Caenorhabditis elegans: one gene and its partner. The protein of the gene in region 1 interacts with the protein of each later gene in a pairwise test. Each region holds a gene or a part of one and is shown on either strand. Other genes may lie near its edges.

Region 1 (11,479 bases):
ATCATTCGTCTTTTCCGCATTTAAAAACCATATCAAAAATTATATTTCCGTTCAATACTTGTAGCCTCATCGCTTTTTCTGATAAGTGAACTTCCATCATTGCAGGTTCCTGAACCCTGAACAGCATAATAAAACAAACAATGCAATTCGAAAGCGTCCAAAGAAAGAGTTCATTTGCAAATACTGTGCCCGTCACTTTACCAAATCCTACAATCTCATGATTCATGAGAGAACTCATACAAATGAACGTCCATTTCACTGTGAAACCTGTGGAAAATCATTCCGTCGACAAGATCATTTGCGTGATCACAAATATATTCATGCAAAGGAGAAGCCGCATAAATGTGAGATCTGTGGAAAAGGATTCTGTCAGCTGAGAACATTGAATGTGCATCGATCATGCCATCATGTGCAGGAACCCATTTCTGAAACATTCATGCTCGGAGCTATCAAGTTTGGGAAGGCAGACTCATTATTGATTGATGCTGAGCCATTGATCGATGTAACTACTATTTGAATTTGTGTGTATATTGAATGTAGTTTATTCTCTGATTGACTATCACCCAGAACACTCACATCTCTGAATCTCTTGAAATGATTCTCACCTATGTAGGTAATGTTTGTGTTTTTTTTTAATGTTTTATTTGAACTTAATAGTTGTTAGATTTTCTCCGATTCATGACCTTTTTAAATGATAATTTTTATATCTCTAATTGCAATGAGCCAATCCGGGCTTCGTGAACCTTTTTGCTTTTTTAGAGTTTTTTTTTTCTGTAAATTAGTCTTCTCATGCTTCCAACAGTACAACTAAAGATCTGTTCAATAATTTCCACACGCAAACTTTTATTCCTGTTAATATTTAAAAAAAACTGCTTTGTTATTTTGTTGCACCAATTTTCCAGAGGAACCACTAATTTTCCAAAACCTGATTTTGGACAAAGAAAATACAGATCAATAAATTTTTATTCACAACTTTTAAAGTCAATCTCTTATCTTGAAGTCTTCCTCGACTTTCTTGGAGCATTCCTTTCTACGTGAGCTTTCACAACTGCTTTCCAAAGAATATGCTCGAAATTCGGACGAACTTCTCTTCTGTGAGGCATCCTTATCATATTGAATTTCCAATGTTCCCTCCAATTTTGTGGGATTCCTCTTACAAAGTAACCAAATTCTTGGGAATCATCAGAAAATCCAAGGACGAAAAAAGTGAGAAGATTTATGAGAAGCAAACCTGAACGAGAGAAATTGCATTATTCTCAAAAAATATCACAAAAATTCAGTTACCTTTCATGGTTAAAGTGCCGCGATAAAATTATTGAGAAATTTTCAGAAAGATATCCACGGTTTTGTTAAATTTCAAACATATAAAAGTTATAGTTCACGCAAATATAAAACGTTCACTATTGTTTCAGCATTAAAAAAAAAGTAAATTTAGAAATTCCACTTGGTATGTAGCCCTGTTTTCAGACGCTGCTATTTTAAAGAGTGGAGAAAACCAATAAGAACAACACAATACTTAGTTTTTATTTTTGAGTCCCAAGAAAAAGTTTCGAATTTTTACAAATAACAAAACAAGTAAATGAAAATCTGATATTTAGAATTTGAACACAGATTTCAAAGATTTCTTCTTATTTTCCGGAAGCTTCTCAACAATTTTGTTCTCTTCGACTGGGCCTAGATCGTCACCGTTACTCTCAACAATTTTGAATTCTTCTAAAGAATTGTCACAGATGTAAACATTGGTTTGTGGATGACACAGGAAGATACAATCACGGGAAACTGGAACTTCTTGGCCAATTGGAAGAATTTCAGTTCCGAGGACGCATGCTGAAAAGGAAAAGGTTTTGATATACACAAACAAAAAACTAATCAGTAATAAAAAAAAGACAAAATACAATCTTTCAATTTGGACGTGTACTTACATTCCTTAACAATATGTCGATAGTTACATCTCATATTTGCACCCTTCTTCACATCAGTCCATTGACTAGCATGAGCATATGTTTTGTTGTCCATTGTACAAGCCAATTCTGAAATAATTTAAATTAATTTAGCCGTGAAGTTGAACATACCATCAACATTAGCTGACTTCAGGCTGACATGTCCAAACTCTGACTCTACACATTTCACATATGATCCGTCGAGAAGTTGTCCAAATTCATCGATAAGAACTCCGAGTTTGCCAATCACACATCCTGAAAGTCCACAAAAAAAATTGAAAGCTAGAAATCTACAGTGACCAACCAACAACGTGACTTTCATAGTAACTGTAATGCGGACGAAAACATTGCATGAGACGTCCATCAATTGATGTATCATTTGGATTGACTTGTGGTTCAACCCATTTCTCTTCTTCTGGGTAGATCGTCTCATTGAAATAACAACCAGCAGCTGTAAATAATGAACTAGTTTTTTCGATTTCATGAAACATTCAGAGCTTACCTCTCTCAACGACCTTTTTCAATGCTCCACCATAAAGATTGCAATGTAAAATGACAGTTCCATTACTGAGACTTCTTGTCTCTCCTGGATGCATTATTTCTCCTTGTGTATCAATACAAGCAATCGCTTCATAATTCAAAACTCCATCCTCTCCTTCTTCACAAGAAAATACAAAGTCATGTTGGAAAGTTCTCTCTCCTGGTTTCAAATAGTTATCACCATCAACGTTAGTCGGAGCGCAACCTAGAAATTCAGAGAGTTTGAGAAAAATAACATTAAAAGCTAATTGTTCGTTAAAAAAACTATATTTTAAAGAAACGATTGTTTGGAGATGTTGAAAAAATGTTTTCATCATATTTAATAGCAGCTCTGAAAAAGAAACTTCTGAACGCCAAAAACTTGAGTTTTAATCACATTAGACTTACCCAATGGAACAATCTTGGCTTTTCCTTGATTTCCCTCGAAGATATATTGAAACTTGATGAAATTCTGTACCCACGTCTTTTTCAACACATAAGGTTTTGTGAAATTTCTATCAAAAACTGCTGCAGAATCAGCATATTGCAGACAAATTACAGCTAGAATTGCAGCACCAAGGTTTTTCATAATATGATGTTTTTCGAAATAAATATTCCAATATAGCATCTCATTTCAATTGGTCATTTTATACCGTGTGTGGTCTGTAGTCTCTTGTTTGTCAACACTATTTCTTGTAGAGGTGTTGCTTTACGAACTGTTTAGACAGCTTTCAGTGCAGTGGTCAGTTAAAATAATTAAATGAAAAACAGCAGGATGTTATTATACAAATGAAAAAATCTATTTATACATGTTTACGAATTCAAAAATGCAATTCAAACGTAAATATTAACCAACATGTGTGTTTTTAGATAAAAATTTGAAATTTTGGCAATTCAGATCTATTCACAATTTCAATCCGAGATTTTATGTACTTTAATGAGTTTTTTTGTAAATTTTTCGTATTTTCCGTTTTCGGCAGTCCGCAAAATTGTTGGTTTAATGTCAATATCTGAAATCTTGATTATTCAATCAAAAAAACACTTTTAGAAATTCGAAGTATTTATATATGAATTCAATTTTTAAAAACCACAAATCGGTATATTGCAAATCACAATGGAAAATAATCGGAAATTTGGCGAATTAAAAAAATAACTTGAGGTGTAGAAGATGAACATTTTCTAGATGATGATGAAAGATTTTGACCCGTTGGCAACAATAAATTCATGGTGTGATTAGAATTAATATGAGTTGGAAATAAAATATCACTGATTTGTAAAACGGTAAGGCACAGTTGATGGATATCGACAAAATGTAGAGAAAGAGTTATTACCAGATATGGGAATGAAATTATACTTATGGATACGCTATGACGATAATGGAAACTGTTTCCATAACCTATTCAGTCTTGATTCCAAACAAAAGTTGTTTGGCAAACGTCGAAAATTGGATTTGATCAAAGAAATCAGCAACAAGAACTGCTTCTTTCATTTCAACAGCCATTGTGGCGAGGACAGTACCGAGAAGAAGAAGACGTCCGAATCTGGAAATATTTGAATTTTAGTTTATGAAGCAATAGAACTTGAGAAAAAACAAACCTATCCCCAGCATCTTCTGCTCCTTTTTTCTTGACCATATACCGATAAAGAGCATTTGTAATTGCACTTCTTCCATCACTCAACGTCTTTTTTGCATTCGAATCAACATCATCAGCGTCTGGATTCAAAAAGAAAATTGCTTTGAATGCAGCAAATTCAGTCATGTCAATTTCCATTGATCTCATTGGTTTCAACAATTGATCAAGCATTTGATACTTCTTTTTGTTGAATCCAAGAGGACGAGTTGGTTCAGGTGTTCTGTCAAAATAGGCACCGTCTGGGAAGACAATCGTGTCAAGACCATGATCTGGAGAATTGAATACATGAACCAATGATGGATATGTGATGGCTGAATGTCGAAGAAGAGCAAGCTGAAAGAATAAATTAGGCTTACATTAGTGAAAATTAACAAAAAAAATAGATTGGCAATTTAAATCTAAAATCAATATTCTATAGCTCGAGCTGCAGAAAATCAGCTGCCCGATCATTAGGCAAAAAAGTGCATTGTGTAAAAGTGTAAAAATTTTCGCATATTCCAAGACCTGATGCCGGAATTTTTAGTCAAAATTTAAACATCACACGAACAGGTTGCAATAATTTAAAATTTCTTAATGCCCACATTTTCCAGATTTTCCAGACTTTAAATCTAGGATTCCACTAGAAACCTTCTTCTCATAAGTTTTGAAACTTTTTATGACGCTTTAAAGTCCTCACAACTACGCGTACCTTATCCGTGAATGGAAGTGATTGGAAAACTGGCAACGTCTTTGCCCATTCGATCATCACAAACCAGTCTCGTTCGTGCCAATAATGATAATCTGATTGATTTGCAAACCTGAGGGATGTTACTCGGTGTCGCGGTGACTGAAATTATTTCATTTTTAAGTGACTTCCAGCTAATTCACTAACCAAAATAGCGTGTTCAGCCATAAAAACTTCATCTGTAAGTAAACAATCTGATACAACTGCTTCTATTAGGGTTCTTGATGGCATATATTCTGCAAGTCTGAGTGCACAACACTTTTGTTCCGTTGATGATAATAACGTTAGGAAATTGTCTTCACTGCGATCATTTTCAGATACCTGCAAATTAAATTTATATATTAGCTTTATGTATAGACATGTGTAATTGAATTTTTTGTTTAGAATATCAGGTGAAATTATATTCTCTAGTTTCCTTGGAATTTGCATACTCTAGAGGATCAAGCACCAAAATTACTTTTCATGATTTGTGTTTAGCGTAGAAAATATAGTTGTTGAAAAGTAGTTGAAAAGTTAAATTTAATTTTTTAGTATTTTAATATATCAAAAAGGTGGGTAGTTCTGTTGGTTACTCCACCTTCGAAATAAAATCTTTTGGATTGTTTTATCGTGATTTTATTTATTTTTATTTTATTTTAATAGTAATTGAGACAAATTCCTAGAGACACTGCTTGAAAAAATAATGTTATTCGTTTTTAGACAAAATTAAAGTGTTACATGTTTTTACTATAATAAAAATTATACATAAAACTGAAACCCATAAATACTTAATGGCTCAATCGTTTCTATTTTTGAAAAATTTACCATAGCAGGTGAGCACTCATCACTGGCTTCAACTTTTTTAATTGGTGGATATCTTCGTGTTCTTTTTGTATATCCAATTGGATCTCTGTTCTGTTGAATTGCATTTCGATCCATTCCAACTTGTAAACATTTCTCAAATCGACAATGCCTACACGCACATCTGATACCTGAATTAGAGAGTTAAATCTACGATTTAGAATCATCAAACCAACTTTTATCAACTGGACATTTTCCTTGAAATTGGCAGCTAAACGTTTGGTTTTTCATGATTGTTCGACGGAAGAAGGTTTTGCTGAAAAATTATAAAGTTTAATCCGATTTTTTTTGTATTTTCCATTTTTCTTTAGTTAATTTCCATATTCCTAGCACCAGGTACATGTCCCTCTCGGACACTAAAAATGAAACTCTCCTACTTTCCTGCCTACAATAAAACCAATGCTTAAGGACTTGCCTACGATGGAAGCCAAAAATATATAAATTTGAACCTTTTAAGGTTCTACGTTTCCAATTCATTGATTCACCATATCCGTGCAAAATGCAAACACTTTTTTTATTCATAGGTTTTTCCCGAGATCCCCCAAAAACAAAAAAAAAGTTTATGCCTTGTGCCATAATTCGTTTTAATAAACTACGTTTCTTTCTGCGAAACATTAGAGTCTGATTATGACTTTGCAATCTCAACTTACAAATTCAGTTAAGCTTCTTGATTTTTGATAGAAATTGGATTTTAGTTTTCTTGGAAAAAAATCGTTGATTAAACGGAATGAGAATTCGCGGAAAACAAATAGCTAATTTTGCAGAAGTTGAATTCATTTAATTTCATGAGTTTTTGGTTTAAAGTTTAGAATCTCTTTAATTATTTTTTATTTAAGGGTTTAGAACAACAACAAAAAAACGAAAAACAAACCATCCATTACATGAGGGAACTCCATAATGATAACCAGTTGATATATCGGAACAAACCAAGCATACCTCTTCAGGTTGAGACGAGTTATTTGATGACGGACCTCCACCCGTCATTTGGCTGAAATTAAGACAAGATTTCTAGAAAAATAAGAAAGAAGTACATGCAAAGTACGAGGAAACTGGAAATGGAATGGATTGAGATGCAATGGATTAAAAATGAATAACGATTCCGTAGAAAGATAGTTTCTACAAAATCTCACTTTTCTCTGAGCTTCCTTCCTTGTTATTCAAGAAATATTAAAATAATAACGAGTGTTCAAAAATCCATGATTTCTCAAAGAATTCGCAAAGTTTTATAAGAGAATATCAAAGAGTAGGAAGATTAGAAAATAATAATCCGTCGCTGAAAAACACCACACTAAATCTAACTCCGAAGTATTACATTCAAAGTACAACATGTTATTCAAAATATTATGATTTAGGGAATTTTTAAAATTCTAATTTTTCATCAAACAAATTGACAAAGTTCAACATAGTTTCCAAAACAGTTCGAAATTTTATATTTTCAGCCAAAATTTCTTTAAGGTACTTTTTAAAAATTAATTCAAAAAATTTTAAGTGAACTTTTTTAATGCGATTTCAAGCTAAACCCAGTAGGCTTTGAATAGATTATGTTGCAATTTCGTGACAAATTTTATAAGTTTCTCATAAATAAGACAACGAGAAAAATGGACAAAAAATTGCTAAGTAGTTGTAAAGTTTTTCTCGTGCCAGGACTCAAAACAGTGATTCTCGTATAAAATATATTATAAAGTTTCATAAATGTTGCATTTTAAAATTCAATTTTAAGTAAACATTGAAAAAAAAAGTAATAATTCTAACCGCTAATTCTTCTATGGATTGTTCAATATAGCGCATTGCTAAAAAATTTCCAATAAAAAAAAACAAAATTTTGTAATTTTATAGCGACAAATACTGTCTGCCAACCAACTCTATCTTCAGTCTCTCCACACCTTTCACCACAAAAAAAACGATAACAAATCTCGTGATGACGTCGTTTTTATGTTTCGTTTCTCTGCGTATCTGAACTTTTTCTAAGTTTCAGATTACGAACGAGACAAATTATTTGCCTTAATTGAGATATCTCATAAGATTTAAGATTAGAAAGAATAAAATTTATTAATTAAATTGAAAGTGCTGAAGAAAGTATCACATTCTAGATCAAAAACATATTGTTATTTGGAAAAGGATACAATCAGATTCAAATTGTTGGAAAGTAGCAAGACATAGTATCTGAACGCATTGCACATATTCCCATGACTATTCTATTTTTGTCTCTGAACTTTGAATATGATCATTGAAACAGAATGTGAAATGAAATATTACATGAAATGGGTAGACATAAAGGACAAATAGAAAAGGTGAAAGAGACCGAAAAGTGGAAGGGTAACCACGGGGACAGCACAGAGACAGAGGGAAGAGAGTTGGTCTCGAGTGATGAGAGAGTTAGAAGGGCAAGAGACGACAGAGAAAAGATTGAGTTGATGAGAGAGAGAGACAGACATAGATATATTATTACAGATTTTAAATTGAGACGCAGAGATAGTTGGCATAGGGAAGAGACAAGATAGTGGAAAAAAGGTAGCAATTAATTATTAGATATTTCAACAACAGAAAGCTCACTAGCGGCGGGGATAGACATAATATTAGAAAACAGAAATATTCACACACACACACACACACACATACACACACACACATACACACACAAATGATCAAAAAAGATGTAAATGTAAAGGTGGTGTAGTCGAATTTTTATTTCTTTATTAGACTCAAAATTGTCTGAAAACGCCGAATTTCATGATGAAACTTCTTGAAAACTTTTCAAAAAAAAAGTTATGCCCTCTTGAAATTTTTTTTTTAAATTCAAGTTTTTATCAATTTGTTCTGTAAATCTATCAAATAGATGCTTGAACAGATGGTAGGTTCTCTAATCTGGAAATTTAATTTTTATAAATCATTGATCAAGCCCTGATATTATATTCAGTTGTTTTCTATAGAATAAAATATGTTTGATCTTTTCGTGCTCGCTGCAAAATATATTAAAAACTACCAATTTATCTAGAAGTTAAATATTATTTTCCTAGAAAGTTTTGAATAATGTTAGAACAATCTTTATGAATATTCAGCTAAACTCATATTTGAATAGAAAATTCATTTTCGTTTTAACTCATCGATCAGGTTATTTTAGGCCTGAAACTGGTTTTTTTCTAGTGTGTCTAGCACAGATTAGTTGAAAAATGTGACAATCGAAATTGTTTGTACAAATATAATATGTTCGAGAATGTGAAAATTCACATTTACTGTATAAGAAGGTGTATGATTTTTCAATGAAATGAGGTATAATGATAAACCATTTTATTCTGGCTTTCTGGCAAAGGGTGTTTATGTAATCGTCTAGGCATTCTAGGTTGATACAAAAAACATGCCTACTGCCAAAAATCACCTGAAACTTTCTTTTTAATATTTATTTGTTTTAGTTAAACCTTTAAAAAATTAATTGAACTGTGGAAATTTCTGAATCTACTCTGGGCAATTGCCGAACATGCACCGAAATTTAAAACTGCACAATTTCACCGTAAAAATAGTTCAACATCGCTTCAATAAAAATATCTAACAAAACAAAAATTTGTAAAATATAATATTCATGAAAACGAGTGAATAAGAAACATGATATCTGGGCGAATATGTCTTAGAAACGACCAAAAATCGCTCCGAAAAAGGAAATAATAGGGTACTTGTGTATTACATGCCTTCATTTTAATTTTCATTAATTTCTCCAATTAAAATAAACGTGATAAACATTTTTCCTCTTCAGGCTTAGAAAAGGATATTTCCTAAGCCTAGAAATACAAAAATGTGGTACACGTTTTTATTGTTTTTAACTTTAAAAATTACTCAAAAAATGAGGGCATGTAATACACAAGTACCAATAATAGTATCTAAATAGACGAAGAGTTGCTCAAAAAGTTGAATCTGATTTCAAACAGATACCTCCCAAAAGATCAGAAATCCAGATATTACAGCATTGCTCTTTTAATCCTGTTAGAATTGAATGCGCGTTTGTGTCTACACCGAGACAAAAATAAAACTAAAATATCTTGTAGATACCTGAATCAAAGTAGAAACACAAAGAGACTCACTGAAATATCAAGGAAAAAAAGAGAGAAGCCAGACATTTCTCTCTGATTCTTTGGAACTTGCAGTCTTAATGAACTCTTATGATCGCTGAACTTTTCTAACGAGCTAATCTTTGGTTGAATGAGCATTTATTTTCATCTGACGTTGAACACATGAGTCAGAAGTACGGCTTTTTGTGCACTACAATTTAATAAATGACTTGACGTCTTACCTTGACGAATATTTTAAACAATTAATTAAATTTGGTCCTATGCGAAAAGTCAACATGCTCCAAATATACACAGGAGAAAGAGCTCCACGTAGGCTCAAAAATGTTAATTGCTCACTGGATGGCTCACACCTTCCCTATTTCTATACACACCTGAAAATGTTTCATTAGTTGACGTTTCAACTTGAAACTTTAATGAAATACATAAAGATATGCTTCTATTGGATTTTAACCAAGGAATAAATGCAGTATACTCTCTCTCCTTATAGTTAAACAAACAAATACTTGTAGCCACCTGTCATTAAAAAGATACAATCTCCGAAGTCAGAATTTTTATAAAAAACTATAAAATTGATTGATAGAATGTAGGTTGCATCTTAAAAACTGTTTTCTATGTCTAAGAATTTGTGTTTTGTGTATGTAAAGATACTATCGGTTGTGATCAAAAATTGATTTCAATTGGATATATTAATAACATTTTTCCAGATATTTGCGTTCAAAAAACATAAAATTTGAAAAGGCTCTGACTATACCACTTCGGAATATAAATTAAATAAAAATGTCGTATCATTTTTTCGCCCACTTATCTTATTCAAATCCGACGATATCCAGCTCAACACTCAAGTTAAAGATCAAGACGAGTCACATTTGTTGAGGAGTAAATATAGAAGATTCATGAATTATAACTCGTCGCAATGATAATATTCAGGTGGAATCAGAGAAAGATTTCCAAAAATGATATTACTTCTTACTTAGTTAGTCAAAGACTTGTGATACAATCGAAAATTGGAAAATGAATAAAAGTTACACATGTCTTGTAACTAGTTTTTGTGCCTGCCTGTCGACTTTATAAACTCTATACATTAGAAAATAAATAATTTTAATCTCTAGTTCCTAAATCCAAAACATTGACATCTTAATTGATATTTTAAATTGAGTCTTTAATAAATTTTTTAACTGACTTATAGAAAGAACATATTTTTCATGATAATTGTTAGTTTTGTGATATCGTCGTATTACTAGAGGAAGTGGACTTTACAATGATAATAATCAGGCGGGCATTACATCAACATTTGGCTTTATACGTAGCTTCTATTCGAAAAACAATTATCGTGTGGAAGCTGAAATCTGGAGAAGGTACTTTGAAGGCACGTGTATTTTGATTTCAGTTTTTCCGTCGTTATGTACAGGCGCCAAAAAATTTGTGGAACTGAGTTTATAAAAGCAACAATCTTCTGAGTGCCAAGTTTCAATACTGAGGACATAATTTCACGAAATTTCTTTCCGTCATCAGTTTAAAGACACACACTGTTTTTTGAGTGGGTCTCGCCACGATCTCAGTCATAATGACCGTTACATTTTTTACAGATTTGTTAATTCGATGTAGTTTTAAACAGTTGATTTTATCTGAAAATGGTAATATATCGTATATTCTCTTTCAGTGCTGCACCCACATAGCTCAACTTGCATATATCTCGAAGGTTTTGGGTGATTTTGTACATTTCAAAAACATTAGGCATAGAAAAAGATTTAATAAGCATTT
Region 2 (14,060 bases), on another chromosome or scaffold:
ATTTGGACCTTTTTGTCCTGGGAACCCTGGGGGACCAGTTTGACCTGGTGGACAAATAATACATGGTTCCGGAGCTTGGCCAAGGGGTGGCAGGAGAATTCCATCTCTTCCGGGTGGTCCATCGACTCCCGACTTTCCATCAATACCATCAAGCCCATCGTCTCCTGGTGGTCCTGCTGGCCCAACAGGTCCTTGTTGGCATGTGCAACCTTAAATTTTAGTTTTTGGGTACAATTTAACATTTCAAAACGTACATGAAGCCGGCTGAAATTCTTCAACGGCAGCTACTTTGTAATCTCCGTAGGTAGGAGGGACCGTAGGGGCCGGTGGATAGGTACCGTAGCCACCAGAACTTCCAGACCCTGATCCAGTTGCTGAAATTAAGTATTCGCATAAAAGAACAATCAATACCCAGCAAACCTCTCTGACTTCTCTCGAAAAACTGCCCAAAACTCCACTCTCGTTTAGCGCGGTCACCAGATCTAATCGTTCGTTTGCCTCTACCGAAAGCGCCGTCAACAGAAACGACCTCCACCCACAGGTCTCTAGATTTCGTCTGAAAACGGTAAGAAAATTTTAATCAGAAAAAGATAAATGTTACTCGACAGAAATCCATTTCATTGAGCATGTGTGTTTGAAGAGTTTGAACATAGTTGTAAATAAGAGGAAGCATTACAACTGAACAAAAAACTACGAAAGTTGAAATTGCGACCTGTAATTAAAATTAAAATAGTAGAATTATTTGCCATGGTTCAATTATGTACTTACAGATAAAAAAGCAGTCTTTTTTATTCTTTCAGTTTCAGCACACAACTGTTTTTCGGAAGAATCCATGACGAAAAAATATGATAGTAAAGAAAGAATGAATTGAAATGAAACTAAGGCGTCGTTTTATACTATCGTTGCCAGTTACTTCCCGCTGAGCAGCCGACACAGTCTGGATCCGGTCGGCAAAGCTTTTTGCTGGATAAGAAATGTAAATAAGTGAGGGAAATCAGAATGGTGTGTGATCGCTGCCTTTGATGGCCCACTTATATGCAAATTTTCCAACAAGATTCCGGCCCACGATTGCGGTTCTCTGACTGGTTTTCCTCATTTTGAAGTTGGAAACGGAATAGTTTATCTACGGATCGAAAACCTGCAAAATTGCCTCGTGATCATGTTGTTTCCGTATTTTGCAAAATACTTAGCGCATTTAAAATTATAAGTAAAGGAAAACGTTTAAATGTAACTAGAAAATTAAACGTTCTTAAAAGCCTGCTCCGTCTGACATTATGTTTCTCATAGTGTTATTGTAGATATTATGAATAGTTCGTAATATGTTAAAACATTTTTTCCTAATATACATTTTTCAAATGATTAAAACTTAATTTACTTTATTAAACATGGAACTTCCGTATCTTTTAGTTGGCCAAGTCTATTTCAATAAAATTTACACTATGCTGTCCAAAACATCGCCTTTTTTTCGTTAAATTGGTTGTTTTGCAAATGGTTACAATTCAGACAGTAGAAATTCTATCGAGAAGCAATCTAATCACAAAATATTGTCCATACTTTTAAATATATTAAATATTCCAAGAAGTCGTAGTAAAAAATTAAGCGGCAGACAATTTGTAAGACCCTTTTGGATTTTTATTTTTGAATAACATCTTTCAATAAAATTTATTGTTTTTGAATTTTACACATTTGGAAAACTAATAAAATTCTTGAAAAACTAAAAAGCAATACTTTTTGATCAGTACTGTATGTGCGTGTGTATAAAAAATGTTTCCAAAATTGAACTGAAACTGAAAATATATCGTTTTGCATAGAAATCAAAAAATTATGTCACTATAGTTGTCTTACCTTTTTTCATGATTTCACATCTTTTCAAAGTGTTTATTGCCTTTCCAACCAGAAAAAGTTAGATAAAACGCCGACAGGTACGGGTGTCCGTATTCATTGAGATTCTTGCAAGATATGAACGGGTAGATCAATAGTGCAAGTGGCATTTTGGAAATTTGTTCAAAACATAATCGTCTAGCGGACTTTGTGAAAGTTAATGGAAAAAGTAAAAGTGGAAAATTTAGAAATGCGTACATGTTTTCTTATTTAATGTTTTTCTTGTTCTAACAGAAACGTGAAAATGTTCATCAAATGTGTCGAATTCCCATTTGTTTCAAATTTGTATAAATGAAATGTCTGATCAGTCGAAATAAGAAGGGAAAAAACAGACATAAACACACGCATATATTTCAAGCTTAAAACATAACACATCTATAATTAACCTTAAATTACGTCAATGAATTTTCAAAGGGCATATACTGCAGAATTTGCAGACTTATGTGATCACATTGGTGGGAAAAGTAAGTAACAGGTCAGTGTGTTCAAAGTTTACGTCAAACAAAAAAGAATACCTGAAGCAGTTTTAAGAATCGAAAGTCACAAGTCTGAATGAAATATCAATGACAGATAACTGAAGCGCATCCTAACATGACAAAACGTATATCACGCCCTCTCATTAATAACTGCTCATTTATAAAAGCTCAAGAGAGAGAGACAATGAGCCCGTCCATTGCAACCAGAATTTTACTGAAAAAATTATTTTTGCGCTCTTTATATGTCTACAAAATACATCCCATAATGACGAAACAAATATCAGAATCAGTTGGGAAAGTTGAACAAACTGTAAGTAATTTATAATATAAACTTCATTTGTGGTACATTTTAAAACAAGTTTTTCACAATATTGGAGTTTAATTAGGTTTTTTAGCCCTTTACCAAAATTAAAAATTTTAGTCATATTATTCATCTGCGCAAAGACCTTTGGGAGTAAAGTAAACAATACAGTATTACTCAAAGATGAATCTCAATAGGTTACCACTGAACTTTATCAAAATCGTTTTTAAATGTGCACATTTATCTCAACCGAAATTTATGATAAATTAGTTCCATTACAAAATGAAAAACATTATTTTTCTGTAAACTTGTAAAATCATGAAAATGAACGAATTATCATCATTTTTACAGTTTTTCAAGAACTTTCAAACTTTTCATGAATGCAGAAATATTTTTAAAAGGTGGAGTAGCTCCAGTAGGGATTAAAAAAACACTTAAAAAATCTCGAGCAAATGGGAATGCTACAATAATAGTTAGACCTCAATTAAAATATAAAATTTGTAGAAAACAATTTTTTTTGGTCGACTTTCAAACTTAGGATAGGTGAAAACTGAGTAATTGCCATTATATCCTGTTAAGTAAAACCTTTTTATTTTTAATAACGGGTTTTTTAAAAGTTGTAATTTCATCATTATATGAGTGTCTTTTTTTTGATAATATATAGTTGTTTTTTTTTATATTTCATGAATAATAAAGGTCAAACAACTAAATTACTTTTTTTTAAAGTTGTTAACATGTGGATAATAAAGTAATCGTACATATTTTACTATATCCAACAGGACTTATTTTCAATTTCCTGTTATAGGTGCACAAAGAGATGCTTTATGTTAAAAATAATAACATATAAAATATTTTAAATGTGACACATCTTTTTTAAACACAATCATTCTGGAACTATTGTACTTTTGCAATTGTTAATCATTCCTAATCAGTTATTGAAAATTATTTCAACATGTTGATTGCAATCATCGTACTAAACGGGATTATAAAATCTCACGATGTACTTTTGGTTTTCTTGACTTAAAATTCAGACAAAATTGAGGGGTTTTCGAAATGTGAGGATACCGCCTCTTCACTACCGATTGAACTTATTTTAAAATGTTCATTTGTTTACAAATCTCCAATTGATCTAAACTTTCATCAGCTTTTAATGCCCATCTTAGATGTTAGAGTTTGCAAGCGCCACCTACCAGAAAACGTGTGCTCGTTCTGTTTGAGTGAATCTACTGGGTGGCATGTTGGTATTGGTATCAGAATTCTTTGTTCTTTCACGAAAAATTGTATAATATGCATACCACGTAACTCTACAGAATACTAGTTTGACTACCCGGAATGATAAACAAGTCGTCGAATTCGAAATGTCTATTTGTGGAACGCCATTTGAAATTTAAAGTTTGATTTGGTGGAAACGCGTTCGTATTTGTATCCTATTTAAGTACTCAAACTCGACTACAATTTAGATTCAACAATTCCTTGTTTTCCTGGAGTCATTAGCGTAGAAAAAATCGATACATGTAATACCTCCTTATCCTCCTCTTCGAGTACCAAGATTTAAATTAAGATTTTACTAAAAATGACATCACTCCGCAGTGCGCCCGGTTAGGATACCCGATTGATTGAAAATCGCGATAGTCAGGGGTGCCGCGTATGGTATATTCACCGGCTACAAAACACGAAAACTGTAACTCATGGATTCAAGCAGACGCGTTGGATATGGATATTGAAATAACTGTTCTAATGAACAAATAGTATTTGTATGAACATCATGTCTATGAATCACGCTGCGGGGTTCTGTTTTCTTGATCGGTTGAGTCTTTATCGTCTATTTTATTATCATCGGGGGACTGAGGTGATTATGAGTCGGAGACATTTCACGTTCCTCTTCCTGATATTCAAATCTCTGACAAGCGGTCCCATCCCTTCTCCTTCTCATCACTATCAAACTAGACACAAAGGACGGCCTCATGGGGCTACTTCCAACTGCTGGCGTCTGACCGTAAGGGGCGGCCCGGTTCATTGACCAACAGTTTGCTGCTGCTGCGACGGAGGGCAAATCGCTGGTGAACCAACCGTTGCCGGTGCGCATCTTAACATAAGGCCCCGCCTTCGTCCTCGCCCACCACCCGAAAACCTCTTCCTCCTCGGTGGTCGATGAGTTCCGATTGTTATTAACTAGCAATCTTCTATACTGATTTTCTACCTTTACTTTTTTTCTCACCTTTTCGATATACTCTCATTCATAACTATTTAACTATTTCTCTATTGCAACAGTGTGCTCTGACAACAATTAAAGCAGCGACCAAATCACGACTGTATGATCCTCAACGCGCATCTTTTCTCCGGTCTCACCATTCTTCCTTCTTTCTCTTCCGATTACCCTGTCGAACTGTCTTACGCACCTTCAAATTCGTGGTCAACTCCCAACTCGACACCATCACCATCATTATCAAAATCGAGTTCGCCAAAGGTAGGTCTAACTGAAAACAGAGGGAGACAGTTGTGTTATCTTGGATTTCATCGTAACAGCGATTAAATCAAGTGACTGTCTTTTTTCAATATTGCGAGCCATAAATGTTTGAACAATAGCTAGACTATTATAAGCATCACAAAAAAAATTGAAAATTAAAATTCCTATTAATCGTATTTTCCAATAGCGAATGAAAATAAAAGTCGACACATCACTGATATGGCTTGTATTTAGTTATTCTAGGATCCTATGCTATTCCCTCTCGATTCTGTGGCGCGCAACAATTTCCTGTTTAGATCATTCTTGTGCCTTCTGATATCTTTTTGGTGTGTTACAGTAACAACTCAATAAAGGTTTTTTTTCGCTTTGTTTGGAAAGTGTGCTATAAAACTACGAAAATTTCGTACTTTAAAGCAGGAGCACCTGAAATTCGAATGATAAAATTGTTGTCCGTGTATCCTATGATAGCAACATGTTACTGATCAGTATTATGGGAAAGGGCATGTGAAAACTAGTAAACAAATTTTCTATTTTAAGGCTCAGTAAATGCAACGCCGAGAATGTGAACGTTGCAATTAAACTCCACATGTCTCGTAGTGGAAATTTCCATTCCTAATCCTTATCCTTTCGAAACATTAAAAGTCACACGCGGAATTTTAGTAATTAGACAAATTGTGATCGCCGGGGTGTGTTTTGATCGTGCGTGAAGTGCGGCAGTCACTAGATATTTAAGTGCCGTAGACTTCACCGGAAGGACTAAATTTAGCCATGTTTTGAACCGTTGTACTTTTTCGTTTACAGTGTCTCAAGTACTCAATTGTCTAGTTGAGATTTTGCATAATTTTTTCAAATTCATTTTTTACAGTGAAAAGTAAAATTGAAAAAAAAAATCATTTTTCGAACATTTTGTGAGAAACATCTATCATCACACACAAAATATCAATCCATATCAGTAGAAAAACTGATAATTCCAATATGACTCAGTTCAGCATAATTCGTGGCGAGTGAAAACGTCACTGAATAAATAATGGTTGACTCTGACTAAACCATCTGTAATGTCCGTGTAAAATAAACGTGTTGACGACATGCCTGAAGGAAAAATCTATTAGGCAAGGGGTTTCCTTAAAACAAAATGAAAACAAAAAAAAGTGAGATACTGTTTTTTCAGCCAACCGTGTCACAAGCTAAAGAACGAAGAGTTTTCGATCTACCATGTGCAGTTTGCTTATATCCAGCCACTGGCTATCATTATAACGTGAGTTCATTGTTGTTCTAGCTGCACTACAGGTGGTACAATTAACTTTTTTCAGGTAGCATCTTGCAACGGATGCAAAACGTTTTTCAGACGGTGTGTTCTCTCGGGCTCTAGTTACCGATGTATTCGCGGCGATTCAAATTGCCTGTTAAACATGCGTCTCGTGGCGGGTAAGTTCAAATAGTATTGTTTGTAGTTGCAAACAATTCCAAGCGTGGCAGGGGTTTCATTCATTCATTACGTAGCCGATTCGGTCTCCAGTTGTACTTTGTTTTGACGTATGAAAAGAACTTGGTCAGTTGAACACAGTGTAGGGTGCGCTTTTAGAGTTTTAAATCGTGTTTTAATATAAATAATAGATCATGAAACAGTTCGAACAAGTACATGGTTATTTTTAATTGGTGTTAGTTAGTCAATAACTTTTTGGGGTGTACTTTCATTTTGTTCTAGTTAGTGATATTAGTAAGAATATAGACGGAGTGTATGAAAGAATACCAAGAAGTACATTCTTTGGAAAGTCTTTTGTTGAGCTTTCTATTCGTTTTTCAAAACAAATCTTGTCCTGTATTTCTTAGATTTTGTTTTATACTTTTCTTTTATACTCATACTAACATGACAAAATAGAACAGAATAAGGCGAAAGACCTACAAGTGATAAACCCTTAAAAGAGAAGTATCAGTTCTGGGTTTTAGCTTGCATAGTCTTAAAATGTGCTCAAATAAGCGAATTTTGTAATGAAAATTTCTAAAAAAAAATTTAAAAAATGGTTTTTAGCGGTTCAAAGTTTACAACAAATTAGATAGTTTCAGCTAACAACATTTTAGCAGTATTTCCGTGTCGCAGCTCTCGCAAGTTCATTTTTTCTCAAAGTATTATCCTTCATTGTATATTGGTACCGTTCATCTCACATTTAATTAAGATGGATTCATAGTTGATAGATAACATTTTTGGCAATTTTTGGCTATCTATTAGCTTTCAGTGTACTTTAAGCAACGAAATAACCTGAGATAAACGACCAAATTATGCAATAAAAGATGATATTTCAAAAAAGTAAATCAACTTCGGATTGCTGGAAAAATTGACTAACAAAATGTAGGATTTTGTTTCAAAATTTTGAACAACCATCTGAATTTCGTAAAATATCGGAGAAGTTGCATTACTAAAATGGTTAATTGGAGCTTATACGTTCAGAATACATAAAAACGTTACTCCTTCTTAAAAAATGATTCAAGAAAGTTCAACCTTTCGAAAAATCATTCCATTTTCAACAACCATTTGATCACTTCAAAAAACGTTCATAGAGTTCAGCAACTATCAAGAAATATATTTAATCCTTATTGACCTGACCAGAGTCACCTGAATGTGTCGTGGTTGCATGTTTCGTTTTCCCGTTGTTTAGTCGTTTTCTTAACAAAAATCAACTTCAATTACAAACATTTCTTCCTTTTCGTTTTCGATTAGCATATAGCTGAGAGCAGAAATCAAACCATCTGTTTGTTGAGGCTTATAAATTCTGTTTTGGTTTTGTAAGAAAACGGCATTTGATTTCATACTACGAAAAAATAAATTTAAACTGGATTTGAGTTTTTTTAAAAACATTTTGAGAATTTATTCTTGTTCTTTACTTTTTGACGCCAACACATTTTTTTTTTCAAAAGTCACATTTGAATAAGTTTAAATAATAATGTGAACTCTGGTAGGCAGACGACAGATCGTTCAAAAATGCACGCAATGGTGTGTAATCAGTGATCATTCTATTGCACTTGTAAGATAAGCGGTCTATATTCTCAAGAAATAGCGTAACATCATGTGGCAAAAGTGTCCTCGCCAAAAACATCTGGGATTCGACATTCGAGATCAGTCAGAATTCGTCGAACAAATGGCTCTTTCAGTTTTTGTTTTATTTTTTCTAATCGTCTTATTCCCCGAACAGGGTTTCATGTGTTTTGTTTCAGGAGCACGAATCAAGTGTCGCAGTTGCAGACTAGATCGTTGTCTTCAACAAGGAATGCGAAAAGAAGGTATTTTTATCATTTTCTTTTCAAATCTATTTTATCTTAAAATCATGCGTACATAATTCAAAATGGGGTCAAGATGTGATATTAATCTAACACATTGTATTCAACCTTCGTTCTTATCATATTTTGACCATCAAAACATTTTGTGTTTGTATAGAAAAACATTACAAACAGAAAAAAAACTATTGAAAACATGTGTAATAGTTAATCATTGTTTTGTTACAGCAGTCACGTCAGGAATAGTTGGAAACGAAGAAAAAGTCGCGCCACAAACTGCTTATCTTGCCTCGATCTCGCTACCGGTACGGTTTTCAATAATTTTCCGTAAAGAGACGATTCAAAGGGATTTAAAAGTAGAATATCATCAGTGGGATTATTGTTACTCTAAATTTACTATCATCTTTCCAAAATGACTGAATATCATGATAAAACACTCCAAAAAACGTTAGATTTTTCAAAAAAAATTTTTTGTCAACTTTTAGGTATGTTGCCAAATGCACTTTTTGAGAAATTTTGAAAATTTCTGCTGGTTTAAAGTCCTGGGTGTGCAGAGTTCAAAGAAGCTGATTAATTTTTTTTAAATTGAACATAGCTTCTCATTTTGGAGAGAATTCAAATGGGATTGAATTTTAAAATATAGATTTTTCATCCTTCTGCTGTTTTGTTTTCCTTTTATGTTTTTCAAGCTACTTTTCCTTTAAAAAATTAAAAGAAGTTTTGAAAAGTTTTGCTATGATATTTTGTCATTTTTGCGAGATATGACTAGTTTCAAACAATTTACTCAAATGCGATTCTTAAACCTTTAAAAAGATGAGTGATGTTTTACATTTTGCAAAGATTGACACATCACACTTGAAGTCACACATTGGATTTTTTTGAAACATCGTTTAATGTGCAGCTGATTCCAATAAATCGGATCAAGCTTCAAGCTTTACTCTGATTTCTTGTTCGCTTTTACTTGTTTCTTTGATATTCTGCCGTTAGTGTTACAAACGTGATTAAAATCCGTTCAATTAGATGAGGACAAAAAAGCGAACGTTCTTTGTAATCAGAAAAAAAGTGACGTCATGACCAAATCCTTCGAAACCATAGTGAACCCTTCTCGAGATTTATTATCACTAAGAGAGACAAGGAAAAATCTCGATAATTTTATCCGTTGGCCTCGTATTCAATGAGGAAGCTGTTGTCTAACATGTGATCACAAATGATAAAGATACTTCCTTTTCTATCCTTGTTCCTTGTTGCAAAACTTATCAGAAAAATGTTTCCTGGAGAGTTTAAACTTTCTAATTAAGATTGTTCAGAGTACATCTACCGCGATTCCGAAAGTTACCGAAACGGCTTCTTGCTTGCGACAAACCCTACGACTCATCACTAAATTCAGGTATTGACTTTTTTATCGCGTTTAAAATAATGTTGACCAACACCGTCGGTAGTTGCAAGACATGGAGATGAAAATAGCGAAGACGTGATGCGTTTATCACCACCACCACTTCCTTGTTGCCTTTCGCAGTGACAGCGATCAGAAAATAATGATTAAGAAACTTGTTGTAGGGTTAGACATCAAGAACGTTATTCTGTGAGAGATTCTATACTGAAAAGTTGTAAATCAACTACAGTAATCTGCTTAATTGGCATTTTCACAGAATTTTAAACGACTTGATAGGACAAAAGGAGAGAAGACACTCAGTAAAAAGTAAACAAATAATTTCAGAAAATGTAATATAATCGTGGAGAAGATAGATCTACACATCAGTGCACTCCTGACTATGCCCAGTTTCTTGGACAACCTAAATAATTATCAGGTACATCCCACGTGCACTATGTGATTTTTTTTCTCGATCGTGATATATGATGGATGGGAAGAACTATTTTTGATAAACTTCGATTATCTATTTCAGGAAGAAACCGACTTCAAAAGAGATCTTCCTGAATGGTGTACGATTGATTTACTATGTGCTATCGAATTTGCTAAAAAATTACCTGATTTATCCAAATTTTCGGATTCTGATAAGGTAAAACACGGTATTTTTTAAATGCCGGTGATTTAAATTTGCTCAGCGTAAAGAACGTGTTTTTTGGTTATCGTTTAGGAGATGTGTCGTAAAGCATTTGTGGTAGTGTACTAGCCATATCTCTAAATGCTGCCCATTTATAAAAACAAAAAAGTGAATCTTTTTGGTATTTTAAAATTAGAATTGTTTATGACTAACTATAAGTATGGAAATAAGTTTTGAATAATTATTCCCGTGTTGGTTGGTTAAATTGAAAATATTATACGGTACAGCTACCACACAGTGCTCAATTTTGTTCTACGCAGTCATACTATTAATAAAAAGGTAACCTACAAAAAAGTATCATAATGTACGAGAAAAGTCGACCGAAAAATTAAAAAAAACCGGATAGAAGCGGAGCATATTATTATATGATTCTCGTGTCTGGCTAATATTTCTATCAATTGGAAAAAAAAACAATTCTCTCATTTTTTATCTTGCACAAATATTCTTACTGAAAATACTGAATACTACAGATCGATTATATGATCATACAAGTTATAGACTGACTTTAAGCCAATTGAAACACACAAATAAATATACTTTTGTGATCATTTGTATATATTTACAGGAAGAGCTTATTCGGAATTCATGCTTTACAATAGCAATAGCTATCGAAGCAATTGAAAGCTACTTTGACAAAAAGAAAACAGTTGTTATGCCCGACGGTACTGATGTCATGCAATCTCTAGCTAATTCGTGAGTTTCCGATGTTTTGAATTGGTGATAACACCACGATTAGATTGATCGGAATTAAAATAAGGTGTCTATTGTGTCTTGTGATGATGAATCAAAAGTTTATTAGGCTGATGAAAAAAAAATGCGATTATTCCTGTTCACAAATTATGTGTTTTACAGGGGTTCTGTGATACACGCCGTATTTACTCAAATGTTTGTCTGCATTTTGGATCCATTACATCGAGAATCATTCACAATCGATGAGCTGGTCTTGACACTACAATTGCTCTTTTTCACAATTGGTGGGTACAAAGAATATAGTGCAGGAACAGGAAAGCTATCAGCACATAAAATTTTCAACTATTAAATAATTTGTAATCTGACTACACAAATAGAAAACTATGAGTTTTCAGCAGCGCCGGAAAATTTAACACCGGAAGGCAAAGAACAATTGGAAAAATCTGTGAAATCTAGCATGCATTGCTTAATGGTTTTGCTCATTACACAAAGTAAGCCCAATGATCAGTAAACGTGACAACAACTGCGAAAATTTCAGATACAACTAACTTTTCGGCACGTTACGGATCCTTGATTGCACTAAACGAAACGTTCATCAAAACAGCCCACGCACATAGTATGTTACACATGAGAAGTATTTATTAAACTATTGATTTATTTATTTCAGAGCAAAAAATGAAGGAAGCTGAACACTCTCGACAGAAATTTCGCGACTTTCTCATTGAACAATGTGTTTTCGATTATCGTCCAGCAAAATAAACATGCCGTATTAGTAATTTAAGTAGTACAATTGTCCTATGTTCTCATGAAATCTCAGAAATTTATTTGTATATTATTCTATTTGTGAAAAAGTGTTGTGTCATATAAATATTTATGTGAAAAAATGTTCTGCAAATAATTTCTGTAAAGCAACAAACATAAACAGAACGCTTCGAAACGTCTGCTTTTAAAATAAATTACATATTATTTACATTTACTCAAATTTTGTTTGTAACAGAATTACAACATTGATCATATGGCAAATGATAGTGAATTACTAAACAATTAAAATATAAAAACGTCGAAAAACATTGCTAATCAACTTGGGCTCCTAAAATCAAAGACCACCGTGTTTAAAATCAGGAGTGGGAAGCTAATAGTCAATTTAGCCGATTTTGTCAATTGGCTAATTTGGCAAATCGGCTAATATCAACCGAAGTAGCCATTAGCTGAACATTATCCCGATTAACTGCAATAGCCCTTAATCGTATTTTTTTAGCAATGCGGCTTATTTGCCGTCAGCCGATAGCCGATTTTGGCGGATGTTAGCCGGATTTCTGGTAAAAAACTGTTTAAAAAAACTGCTCTTTGTGAGTGAACTGGTATCAAAATCCAGTTTACTTTTTTAGATTAAATTAGTGCGGCAAGCACTAATTTCTGGGGTCTTTGCGACCTGTGCACTGTTAGAGACTGCTGGACTACTGGGGACTGTTGCACCAACATTCGATAATTACTTTTTATTTCGAAGTTACTTTTTTTTCTGTTTGTTTGATTTTCGAAAGTAGTAACTTCAAAGTTCACAAAAACTCATATTTTATGTGAAAATTCATTTAAAAACATTTGTCTTTTTGCCTTACAAAGACACTAAAATGCAATGTTTAATCGAAATTTTGTAAGAAATCATAGAAAAATGAACAAGAAAAATGAACAATTAAAGTAATCAACTATTTTAGGTGACATTCGCACTAAAAAAAGGATGCCGCGCTTGCACTCACAGAGAATATACGGTATCTATACTAAAATACTAGAGCTTTGAAATCTAAACCGGTTTATTTTCATTTACTATTTTGATGCAATTATACAAATTTCTAGCTTCTTGTGTTAGTTTTTTGGAAACAATTTTTGTATTCGTTCTTCTTTCAAATAGATTACCAAACAGACGTGTCAGCAACAAAATTTTGGATAACAAACACCAAGGCCTAAATTCAAACTTAGTCCTTCATTCTAAAAACTTCACAATTAGGCTCAGTTTTTTCTGCGCAGGGATCCTTCATGCCAAAATTGGTACATGATTTTTAAGTCTCTTTATCTGACTAATATCTGGTCATTTCCTTCTGACTCAAGTCTTCAGGATTCAAGTTTTGGTCTTTTGTCGGCTATTATGTTTAGGACTCCATGTTTCAATTTCATTTTTCGGCTTATAAAACAACAATTCTAAGAATAAAAATACAGAACTTTTAAGGAGATCAAATATTATGAACACATTTCAACCTTACTCTAATTAAATATTGTAAATTAAGTTGTACGAGTAAATTTAAAATCAACTTTTACTTTTTATTATTGAATTTCAAGAAATTCAAAGTAATCTGAATTGGTTGCATTTGAGATCAAACAGATGAGTAACATTCACATCAAGTAGGTAGGTGGTCTGAAAATGAAGGAAAATCACAGAAATTAGATAAATGATACATGATTATCATAAAAGGTATGTGGAAATAAAGTATATTTACAAAAATAAAACATAATTCTAATGTTGCTAGTTATTCCCATTCCCAACAAGATTCCAATGTTATGTGCACAATCTCTGGCAAGTCAAGTTCAGTCGACACCGAGAAAAAAATCCAATCGGTAACCCAAGTATCACTGGACGCCGAATTATTTTTCGATGTTTACTAGTTACTCACTTGACGCTAATTGAACTGAAATCGGCTAAAATTGGACTGACAACGACGAAAGAAAGGTCAGCCGATGTCGATTGGACAGAGGTCTTCGCGCAAAAAAGTCAATCAACACCGATTGACTTTCGGCAGAGATCGGCATTTTCTGGACATCGAATCTTACTTTGGCGTCGATTGGATTTTTTCTGGACGCCGATTAATTCTGACTTGCCAGAGATCAAGCAAAAATTCTATCAATGCAAATGAAATTGAATG

The links.
Region 2: the proteins of nhr-10 (region 1) and nhr-137 interact in a two-hybrid assay, tested with the Caenorhabditis elegans proteins (one large-scale study listed by BioGRID).

The regions. Positions count from the first base shown.
Region 1 is NC_003281.10:7,108,794-7,120,272, forward strand, and holds nhr-10 (Nuclear hormone receptor family member nhr-10), read right to left. Parts: upstream 6,646-11,479; 5' UTR 6,642-6,645; coding exon 6,529-6,641; intron 5,914-6,528; coding exon 5,834-5,913; intron 5,789-5,833; coding exon 5,622-5,788; intron 5,139-5,621; coding exon 4,965-5,138; intron 4,920-4,964; coding exon 4,782-4,919; intron 4,427-4,781; coding exon 4,056-4,426; intron 4,001-4,055; coding exon 3,856-4,000; 3' UTR 3,502-3,855; downstream 1-3,501. Other genes in the region: odd-1 (Protein odd-skipped-related 1), read left to right, coding at 106-517; B0280.7 (uncharacterized protein), read right to left, coding at 1,595-1,827, 1,923-2,030, 2,073-2,195, 2,245-2,391, 2,443-2,685, 2,868-3,048. UniProt on the Caenorhabditis elegans protein: Probable transcription factor that acts in a feed-forward loop with nhr-68 to activate genes involved in the vitamin B12-independent breakdown of the short-chain fatty acid propionate.
Region 2 is NC_003284.9:6,659,757-6,673,816, reverse strand, and holds nhr-137 (Nuclear receptor), read left to right. Parts: upstream 1-4,805; 5' UTR 4,806-4,972; coding exon 4,973-5,125; intron 5,126-6,293; coding exon 6,294-6,380; intron 6,381-6,435; coding exon 6,436-6,550; intron 6,551-7,754; exon of another isoform or gene 7,755-7,903; intron 7,904-8,135; exon of another isoform or gene 8,136-8,187; coding exon of another isoform or gene 8,188-8,335; coding exon 8,336-8,401; intron 8,402-8,623; coding exon 8,624-8,700; intron 8,701-9,702; coding exon 9,703-9,782; intron 9,783-10,112; coding exon 10,113-10,203; intron 10,204-10,299; coding exon 10,300-10,413; intron 10,414-11,023; coding exon 11,024-11,151; intron 11,152-11,310; coding exon 11,311-11,432; intron 11,433-11,543; coding exon 11,544-11,639; intron 11,640-11,686; coding exon 11,687-11,764; intron 11,765-11,815; coding exon 11,816-11,907; 3' UTR 11,908-12,032; downstream 12,033-14,060. Other genes in the region: col-172 (Nematode cuticle collagen N-terminal domain-containing protein), read right to left, coding at 1-209, 255-374, 421-556, 602-712, 769-834.